Linked DNA regions of Drosophila melanogaster. Changing the gene in region 1 together with any one later gene gives a genetic interaction. Each region holds a gene or a part of one and is shown in the gene's direction. Other genes may lie near its edges.

Region 1 (5,239 bases):
TCTTGAGTTCCCTTCGATTCGGCTCCCTAGGTATTCCACATGCACAGTGGGCCACAAGATCCTTTCTGAACTTTCTGAATTTTTTTTTTTTTATATTTTTTATTATTAAACCTAATTGTCTATTAGCTATGAGTTCATAGAAGGATAATATAAGATCTTCGATCTCTTTCGTAAGCACCTTGAAATCAAAGAACACACCAAAAACCTATGCTTACCACTCAACTCAAGTGATCTTGAACATGGTATTACTGAACATATCTATGGGTACCTAGAAATCAAATTCCCTTTAACCATCAATGCCGATCGACGGGGGTTCTTCTTTATTGACAATGGCATTGACAGTGAATACTTTCCACGATGGCAGAATCAGGTGGTTTGAGCCCCAAGATCAAGGTGGGATGATGGTGGGTAGTAACGTGCTACCAGGTGATTGTTTTGGTGGCTCGCTGGTTCAGCGGGTGGGTGTGGATCGGTCTATTGGGGTGGCTCGTCTGCCGTTTGACGATTTAAGTTTGCGCTCGGCTAGTGCCCGTCGTAAAGCACTAAAATCCGTAGACAAATTATTTACGTTGGTTGCGATTGTGATTGTGGTTGCTTCGGTTGTTTCTTTTTTTTTTGACAACGCACGTTTAGGTGTGTGTTTTTTTTTTTTTTGGGCTTGACGGTTCGTCGGTGGGCGTGGCAGTGGCGATGGCGTTGGCGCCATGGGTAAGGTTTTTATGCGCCCAATTTTGGGTGGGGATGTGGCCCATGCTCCGTAGATTCTAAAAAAGGTCGCTGGTCAAGCTGATCAGCAAAAACAGAGCACACAGTGGGCCGTGAGAAGTGATCCTCACATCCGAAGCACACAATAGCAATAAGAAATAGTGTCTTTGATCAAGATGATTTAGTTAGTTTTCAATATATGAATATCCTTCCCACCTATCTATCTATCTATCTATCCTATCCTTAGGTTTAACCATTTAGATACAATAAACGTTTTCCTTAAAATCAAACCATTTGCAATAAAGATTACTGTAACAAGAAATACCCAATGAGTGCACATTTTCTTAACCGTAGATATCTTTTACTAAATTGGGTTGTATAAAATCGAGTTTTTGACGTTAATTAAATGGGCATGTCAGGGTCGAATTTTATGGCTTATAGGAAATGTTGTTGAAATGTTATCAATCGAAAAATATATTTTTATTGTTATATTCAATGATTCATAGGATGGAATAGGGAGCTCAGAAAGTTTTATAGAATTATATAACAATTAAGAATTTTATTAATATATTAAGTTTAACATAATCTAATTTTCATTAAGATCTTGAGATGTGTTGTTCAATCCTGGCGACGATTTGCTCCACTGTACTAAACCCATATTCCGTTGGTTACTACACAGTATCTCTTTTTTGCGACGATCGATTTTGGTTGGTTTGAGGGGGGGGGGGGGTGGTGTTGGGTGGAGGTGGAGGGAGAGGTTGGGGGCAGGCAGTTAGTGGGCTGAGCACTGCTGGCAAATTTCGTAGTTGCCGTTTGTCGATCGGCATTTCAACTTGATTTAGTTTAGTTCAGTTCCGTTTAGTTAGTTCAGGGCTGGGGGTGGGGCTCCCCCACCCGCACACTCGAAAAAAAAGCCACTCACACACCTCTTTGAGTGATTCCCAACAGTCTTGTTCTTGTTTTATGAGCGAAGAGCTCAATGTGAGTGAGCACTGGATTAGAGATCACACGTACAGTGCACACAACCCCATACATACACATCTATAAGTGAACTAACTCACCGATCGGCAGTTAAAGGAGCTGGTTGAATTGTATTAATGCCGCTTGTTCGCTTGCCGTGCGCTTTTGAGCTCTTCGCTCTGATTTCTTTTTATAATTTAAGTACCGGACTCCGAGGAGAGCTCGTTTTGAAGTAACCAATTGGTAGTAATGTAACGGTGAAGCTCCTTCCGGAAAAACGGGAAACGGGCGGAGAGAGAAGGCGACTTTAAGTTTAAAGCTCGGCTGGAAATTGTCGAAAACGAAACGGAAAAGCGAAAAAGAAACCGAAATAGCGGTTAGCGGGCAGCGACGTCGACGCCTACGCCTACGCCGGCAGAGACTGGAAACCGACGTGAGCTTGGAGCAGAGCGTTCCATTTAAATCAGAACGGTTACGGGAATCGAGAAGCGACGGAGCGATCGTCACCGTTAACAAAAAGTGTCAACCTTCCATTTTTCACATCAAATTCAGCGAGCACCGGTAACGGTAACGGTCCTGCGACGCGATCGCCGCGAGTGTATATTTTTTTTTTAGCTCAGTCTTCAGTGTTTCGCGATTCTCTTTAAAAGAAAAAAAAAATAATAAGTCAAAACTACAAACCACACAGCGAAAGGCGAAAGCCAACGGTTCCTGCGAGTGTTTATTTTTTTTTTCAACAATTTTTGATCGTGGGTATCCTGAAAGTGAAGCATAAAAGTTAAGAGGATCGGAATGGAACGGAAAGAATAATTGCAAATAAATGAAAAAGAAGGAATACCAGAAGGAATTCAATTTAATATCAGTGCACTTGTAAACAACACACATTATCGCCAAGCCACCCAACCTACAAATCTCTTCCATCCGTGTGACTGTCATTAATTTTTGGTGTGGTTCCCGTGGTCACCTTGCACGGCGTTATCTGAGTGGGCCACGAAGAGAGGAGCAAGAGCGCGATCCATTGCACGCCCGGAATCGAAACGATTACATATAGTGCACAGGTTAGAGTTCTTCTGGGCCCAATCTAAACGATCGGATTCGCATGTGCGCCCCACTTCAGACGCGCTGTCTACACTCGCGGAAAAAGTCCATGTGCATCTCTTAAAAAATTAAGTTCGATTCTACATTTACAAAAATAGTCTTTTTCTTACATATCAGAAATCTTAGCCAAACTCAATGATACTATCACACAAGAACCTTTAATGACATTAATCTTAAACATTCTGTTTAACTCGGATAGGTTTTGTTTTTTTTAGAGTGTTTTGTCAAAATCCGGTAAATCAATCAGTGCCGCACCTCCGAAACGGTATCTGTAGTATGAATGCATTTAATTAACGAAATTGTTTCACAGTGCAAAAGTGTTTGCTTAACTGTTGTTACCATATGCAAAAACGTTTTACGTACGCCCGCTACGAATGTACCGTTAGCAGTAGTCAGCGCAAATAACGGCAACCAGTTATGTATCTGTTATCGATCAGTCCGATTGGCAGAGGGCTCAAGAATGTTAGGCCAACATCATCCATCATGGGGCATTTGGTTATAAGCAAATATGGCCCAAACTATAGATCCGTTCGGTTCGTCAATCAGTTCAGTTAGTTGGTAACTCTGTTAACTCGGTTGCTGGATAAAGGCCAATCGGCAATACATGTATAGGAATGATATTAAATACTAAATCCATGTTAGTGAAATATTTCCAAAATTAATCGTAATGTTTAAAATTAATAACAATTTTCAAAGTTAAAAAAATACATATATGTATATCACAAAAACTATATCACTTGCAGACAAACACAAAACGATAGAAAGTCATTATTATAGTTTCAAGATTTGCAAGCTAAAAATTAAGAATTCTATCCAATCTTTTATGCAGTTATGGACACATAACTGTCGCCTTTAATTGCCGTGTATAGCTCGAAGCTCTGACGTAGTCTTATCAAAGGAAGGAAAACCAGAAGCACCAACTAAGACGATGACGAGACTGACGGAGGAAACGAGACATTGATAGATCGCAATTCAATTAATCATCTTGCCGCGCCGGCTTGTAAAACAATGTCATCATTAGCACCCAATAGGCTCATCAGGCCCGCCTGGTATTTCCACCCAGATTTTTCAGACTCCGGACACAATGCTTGCGATTCTGTGCCTTATTCGACACCCCTCTCATCCCGCCCTAGATTTTTACTCATCTTTCTCCGGGAAGAATTGAAAATTGGAAAAGAAAAAAAAAAAAAAGAAAAATAACGAAAGAAAAGCACAGCACGGCTTTTGACGCTTGACGACTTTTGCGATTATTTACTAAACGTGTTCATTTTGCAGTTGCTGCTATTTATTATTGATTATACGACTATTTAGCGTCGGTATATGTAAATATTTTGTTATTTATTAATTTTGTTTCACATAATATACGACCGTAGTCCGTACGACTTCCCCGCCAATTCTGCACGTAACACGGGCTTCTCAGTTCTCAATTCTCCGTTCTCGATTTTTAATTTTTAATACTCTGGGGATGCACGTGCCCCTGGATCGTTGTGATAGTGATCTAGCGATCCTTCGGCGATCTATCCAAAAATACCCAACGATCACCATGAACTGGAGTATGTGGGCTATCAATTAGTAAATGCTTTTATTGTCATATTAAATGTTCTGTTGTCTACACCACTTGACGTCAAACATTGACTTAATTCATTTACATGATCATCGAACATGATTATCAGGGTTTTATTTGGGTTCGTCTTGGGTTCGGTTCGATAAAGAGTGGCTCCATTTTATGGCTTTACGACGGGTGTGTTGTGAGTTGTGAGTGGGGGTGTTTGTCTGCGAAATTTCCACGGGTCTCGTGAAAGTTATGAGCAAGCCTATACACTTTTGGGATTAATATTAACCTTCTGCCATATTTGGTATTTTATGAAATAACGATCCTAATTTACTGTTAACCCGATTCGATTATCAGTTATTTCCGCAAACTTTTTGGCAGAATTTTCCACTCCAAAAGAATTCCAAGAGGGCAAGCCCAAAAAAAAAAGAAACAAAAAAGGGAGGAAAAAAAAGCGTTAAAAAGATCGCGTTTGGGAACACACAGCGTCATCGAAATGTTTGTTCGGAATAAATAAAAACATAAAAAAAAAAGGAAACACAATAAATGAAAAGACTTCCATTGAACGGCGTCATCGCCAGCCAGTCAGTGCTCGAGGAACGAGCCCAATAGACGACTTTTTATTTTATTGTTAACAAATTATTGTAGTCGCCGTAGTTGCTTTTTAGTTGCCAGCGGGAATACAGGCAATAGCCAAATAGCCATCATGTAGCGAAAAAAACAAAAAAAATAAATAAACAGAAAAAAACACAAGACTACTCCATAGATAATTTAATAGAAATTATACAGTAAGAAGCGATAATAATAATTAAAACTGTTGCAGAACAAAAGGCAGCGTAGCGTAGAATCGTTATCAGCGATCACTTGACTTGAACAACGGGAATAAACAATTCGAATTGTCCCAATGTAATCAAGCGTGTAATG
Region 2 (5,227 bases), on another chromosome or scaffold:
CTACCACTTGCCGTTCGCCAATCTGGTGAAAGTGAAATCCCTGAAATATGTTGATCTTACCAACAATAGTCTGGAGGATGTGCCCGCTTCGATAGTGGGCAGCATGCGTAATGGTAGCCAAGTACTTCTGGCCGGAAATCCTCTGCACTGCGGATGCAATGCACGACCGTTGAAATACTTTATGCTGCAGCAAACGATAGCTGGAGAGGATTTGAAGAGTATTTACTGCGGAACGCCGGCTTTGATCAAGGACAAGCAGCTTATATCTTTGGACGATGAGTATCTGCACTGCGCCGAGGATGAGCAGGAGATGTATAAGGGCATTGACTATGAACAGCTTACAGATGTCCGATTCCGAGAAGTGAAAACGTATGCATATTTTGCAGTTTGAACTTAAAGTAACTTATAATCCTTGTACATTTTTCAAATAGCAACAAAGCGGGCATGTTGACCCTATGCTGGTATGTCTCCGGCTTTTCAGACGTCTCAGACTTCCACGTTTATATCCGAAGCAGTAGCAACGATGTGCTTCACCAGTCGGACTATGCCTATAACAATCGTACTGCCCAAATCCCGGTGGAAGAGCTATCGACGCTGGGAGAAGAGAAACTTCGAGGCGCTGAGATATGTATAGTATCCCGGGATAGCGATGGAAATACGCGCAAGTGGTTCTCCGGGCAGTGCCAGCAGCTACCTTCGCTGAAGCGGCCCCGGACTTTCTTCTTCGGAAACTTTCAGGTCCGCGGTGGCGTTTCCCGGACCTCCAGCAGCCTACCTCGTTGCCTTTTGTATATAATACTCGTTTTGTTTGTTGCCAGATTGTAGTTAGCATGGGAAAACTGTGCACCAAGATTATTTTCTTAATAAGTAGATAACTATACTCGAAAATGATTGTAATACTGATTGTCTTCAAGTTACAAATTGTGCACTTTATGTATGTAAAAATCGTTTTAAGTTCGTATCGATGTGATAAAATGAATCTTGAAAAGAGATCAGATTGTCCTTGATCTTTGATCCCATTGTTGGCCGTTTGCTAGTGTGTGTCGCTGTGGCCATGGCTCACTGTAAGGACACGCTGTGCTCTGACCTTACAGCTGAACATGTGCGCGACGCCCTATTATCACAGCCGTGCGCACATGTATTTGTTTACTTGGACGCCGCCTCGCGTGGGCAGCGCAATTCAGAAAGCGTTGGAGCCCACAGCCAACCCAACGGGCCAGCTGATGGCTGATGGCCCAGGCTGGCTGACTTTCATTCAGGGCGAAAACACAAAGGCTGTAATCCGAAGTGCTCTTCGGCGCGGCGATTCATTCTCAACTCGGACTCGGCTCCTGTTTGTGCAGCGGGAGCGGACAAAAGGACTGCGAGCGAGTGAAAGGACTCGCCTGAGAGCCTGGCAAATGCGCACTCGCGCTCTCAACCGAAAAGGCATGCGAGTAGCACACTGGCGGTCGAAATTGTTTGCACAGCTACAGTATCGGCATGCTCCTAGAATTATGCTATTGTTTTTGTTATTTGGCTCTACAGTTTCCTGTTCTGAATATATTTAATTTATTACCAGGGGGGAAATATACATACGTTAGCAATGTTTTTAAAGCTTTATTATTTCTTAAATATATACAACACAAATTTAATGTAAAGGTACAGCAATTAAGATTGTTTTTAATTTTTGGATTTTATTACTGAGGTAATTTCTGATCAATACATGTGTGTATTACACCCTACCTTATTCGATAGCTTCCAGGAGATATTGAAGGAGCATCCAAAGGACCTATCAATTCGACCGAACCTCCACTGTGCCGCAGGACACGAGACACTAAGGACATGTGCACTTTCACTGCCGCGCGCCACCCACATGCTCTCGGTTTCACTTTGGCCGCAGAAGAATGTGCTTTTGTGCCGTTCGCCTTTGCCATCCTGGTCCTCCTGCCCCCGCCGCCTCCTCCTTAGGATTTTGGCAGGCGACTTTGCCTGTCCTTATCGATTTTCAGCGAATCTCGCGGGCTCGGCTCGGCCGTTTCTGCTTCTGTTTCTGTTACCACGGCGCACGTCAGTGGCATGCGAATCGGGAAGCCAAGTTTCACTTGTCGCGCTGAGTTCGTTCGTGTCGCAGCAGCAGCAGCAGTCGCAGCAGCAGTAGCAGTCGCAGCAGCAGCAGCGAGTGTGCCGTTATTCCGTTCGTTACATAAAGAAGAAATTTCAAATAGCAAGTTTAAGTGCGCTGCTCGGTGGCGAATGGCATAAATCAGCATTCAGCGAAAGCAGCATTGTGATAAACATTTAAACGAAAGGAGCCAGCGCGACCCAATAAAAAATAAATTAAAATAGCCAAGTGAAATCAAAACGAAATCAAGGAAAAGTAATGAAATAATGTGCATTTGGTGAGCCAGCGACTGTGTATCTGGTGTATAGAGCCCAACATATATGAAAATATGAAATATTAAATGTGCCGTAACACGGGCGTTGAAAAAATTACCAGGTAGTCGTGGGCTCGGGAAAAAAAGAGAAGTTCCAAAGGGGCGAGGACGAGGTGGAGCAAGCTATTGGAGGAGAAGGAGCAGTAGGAGGGAGGAGGAAAGATGGCGAAAGACGAAAGCGAACGAAATTGTAATAGAGGTCAAAAGAAGCATTGATTTAACGTGTGCACTTCCTCCCACTTTCAGCTCCACTCCTCTTGGCTTTCTCTTCGTCGGCTCCTCCTTGTTGTTCTCCCACCACCCACGCCACCACCACCACCACTACCAGTGCCACCCACCGTGTGTCCTGTGTGTCCTGTGCCGTTCTTCGTGCCACGACTGTGAACTGTGTCTGTGCGTGCCTCTCTCGCAATATTTGCGTGTGCGTGCCTCCTGTGTCTCTGTGTGTTATAAATAATTTGTTTAAAATTCGTCAAATCGCTTGACGTTTCATTCAATAAATTCCATCTACCAGGACACACGCTCACACACACTGGCACACGCACGCACACACGCACAGACGCAATGCCCCGTGTGGCGCCCGTGAATCGTGTATGTATGTGCGAAAAATGTTGATGACGAACCACTTACGTCTATCGCAACCCACGAATCCAACGAAACCACGACAAACACAGCCGCAGCAGCTGAAAAAATCGCATGTAACACACCAACACAACCGTACACCACACACACACAAACACGCCCATACATAGCCCTAGGACACACGTACCGTTCAATATCCAATAAGAAACCAAGCATAATTACATAATCAAATAGAACGACTGGCAAAAAAAATAAGGAAATATAAAAAGACAAGAGACAAACACGAATAAATAAATAAAAAAAAAAACACGAGCAACAAAAGCGGAAACCAGCGAAAACAAGGACACGAAAGCAAACACGATAAATCAGCGCAAAGTGCAGCATTATTTAATCAACGCCAGAGTCAGTCAGCAAGTGGAAAAACCCTGGAAACGCCTAAAAATAAAGGACACGCGATAACCAAAAATAGAACGTAATGATAAAACCAAAACCAAAGTACCTGCAACAATGAAATTGAGCAAATCTTAAAGGCGTAACCCAGACAAGCAAGCCCAAGATTAGAATTACTTTTAGAAATATACAAAAAGACACTCGCTATATACAAAAGTGCTATAGATAAACGATAAACGCTATCCGCAGTAAAAACAACGCAAAAAAGCAAATAAATTAAAGTAGTTCGTTGACGTTTGTTCACCGCTGGAAGTTATCGATACAGCCCAAGGATATAGAGCGTAATCCCCGTTGAGATAGTGTAATGGAACTAACCTCGTAGTTTGTAGAGAGACCTGCGTCTCAGCCTGTAGGACAGCAAATTCAAATAACCGCAACATAAACGCACTTATCGACTAACTAAAACTACCAAGTAGTTGCCTCTCTATATACAATATATATACCTATATATATATTTATACACCTACGAGATATATACAAGATACTTAGCCGTAGCGATTAGACGAAAAGCGCCAGTCTGTACATCTACCTATATGGATTTATTTTTATAATGCCGCTAATGCAAAACTGGATCCCCGCCCTCGACCTAGGCCTTTCAAATTGCATCTGAATAAGTAACGAGGGCGATATTAATGCATTAATTGGGTGACGAAGGACGTCGCCACACGGAGTCCCAAGGAGGGACTGTTGCCGGGTCCGGATCCTTTGCGTGTTGCTCGTGTCAGATACACAAATACGCCCAGAGCCGTAATCCGTGGACTCGCAGAGGAGGAGTGATACGAACGTACAGGACGAATTAAAGCTACCTGCTTTGGGTTTCTCGTGTTGCGCTGCCTTGACGTAACTCCGCCTTAACTCGCGTCGCTTCCATTTGCCACAAAAGTGAAAAAAAAACAGAAAATAAAGGGCGACCGCAAAGCCAAAACTGCGGTGCGTTCGTTAAACTTTCATGACCAAACATTAACTTAAGCAGGGAGGAGGAGGTGGAGGAGAGGCGTGGCCAGAAGCCAGGTTGGAAGGCCAGGCGGGATAGCATACATTTCGGAGCAAGGAAACTGAGCTGTCATCATCACTGTCCCATCCCCTCCAACAGCTAGTTTGTTATTTGTGATAAATTATTCAGTGATCCACATTTCGGATCCCGATCCTGCCCACCCCACTTCAGCTCCAGTTACCGTTACCGTTATCGTTATCGTTACAGTACCAGCTCCAGTTCCAGGCCCCACCATCACATCTGTACACCAGCAACCACCAACCGAATAGCAACAATAACTATACCCTAGTGGATAAACGTCATTTATAATCCAGAGTACAAAGTACGAAACTAAAACTCAAACAAAAGCTAAACTATAAATAGTAACATATGGTATTATTATACACGCAACTCAAACAGATAGTGTCATAGAGTCACATAACCTCAAAGAAACGAAAACGAGCGCATAACGAAACAAAACGAAAAGTGAAGAACCATAAGCAATATAAACAGTGCTGTTGACTATTTTAGAGGCCACCTTTTAGATACCGATACCTTCTCACCCAACCTACGTTACTCAACCAAACACCTATGAACCCACCAAAAACGAATCGAAAACCTAACCTAACCTAAAACCTAAAACCTTAAAACACGGATAACGGCGAACAGCCCCATGTGCGAGTGAGACAGCCCGAATAAAGAAGAAAGAGAGTAACACAACGAAAAGCAATTAATTTTTGTTTACGTGTCCGTGTGCGCTGGACTTGTATTAGTTAATGCCAAAAATCGAAGCGGAAGTTGCACC

What was found.
Region 2: of Ork1 (region 1) and Ih, changing one suppresses a phenotype caused by changing the other (phenotypic suppression), as found in Drosophila melanogaster (one study listed by BioGRID).

The regions. Positions count from the first base shown.
Region 1 is NC_004354.4:10,887,816-10,893,054, reverse strand, and holds the start of Ork1 (open rectifier K[+] channel 1), read left to right. Parts: upstream 1-2,234; 5' UTR 2,235-2,723; intron 2,724-5,239. UniProt on the Drosophila melanogaster protein: Background potassium channel. Rectification is dependent on external potassium concentration. Acts as an outwardly rectifying channel but as external potassium levels increase, this is reversed.
Region 2 is NT_033778.4:14,274,048-14,279,274, forward strand, and holds the start of Ih (I[[h]] channel), read left to right. Parts: upstream 1-2,082; 5' UTR 2,083-2,479; exon of another isoform or gene 2,480-3,233; 5' UTR 3,234-5,227. Other genes in the region: conv (convoluted), read left to right, coding at 1-369, 432-825.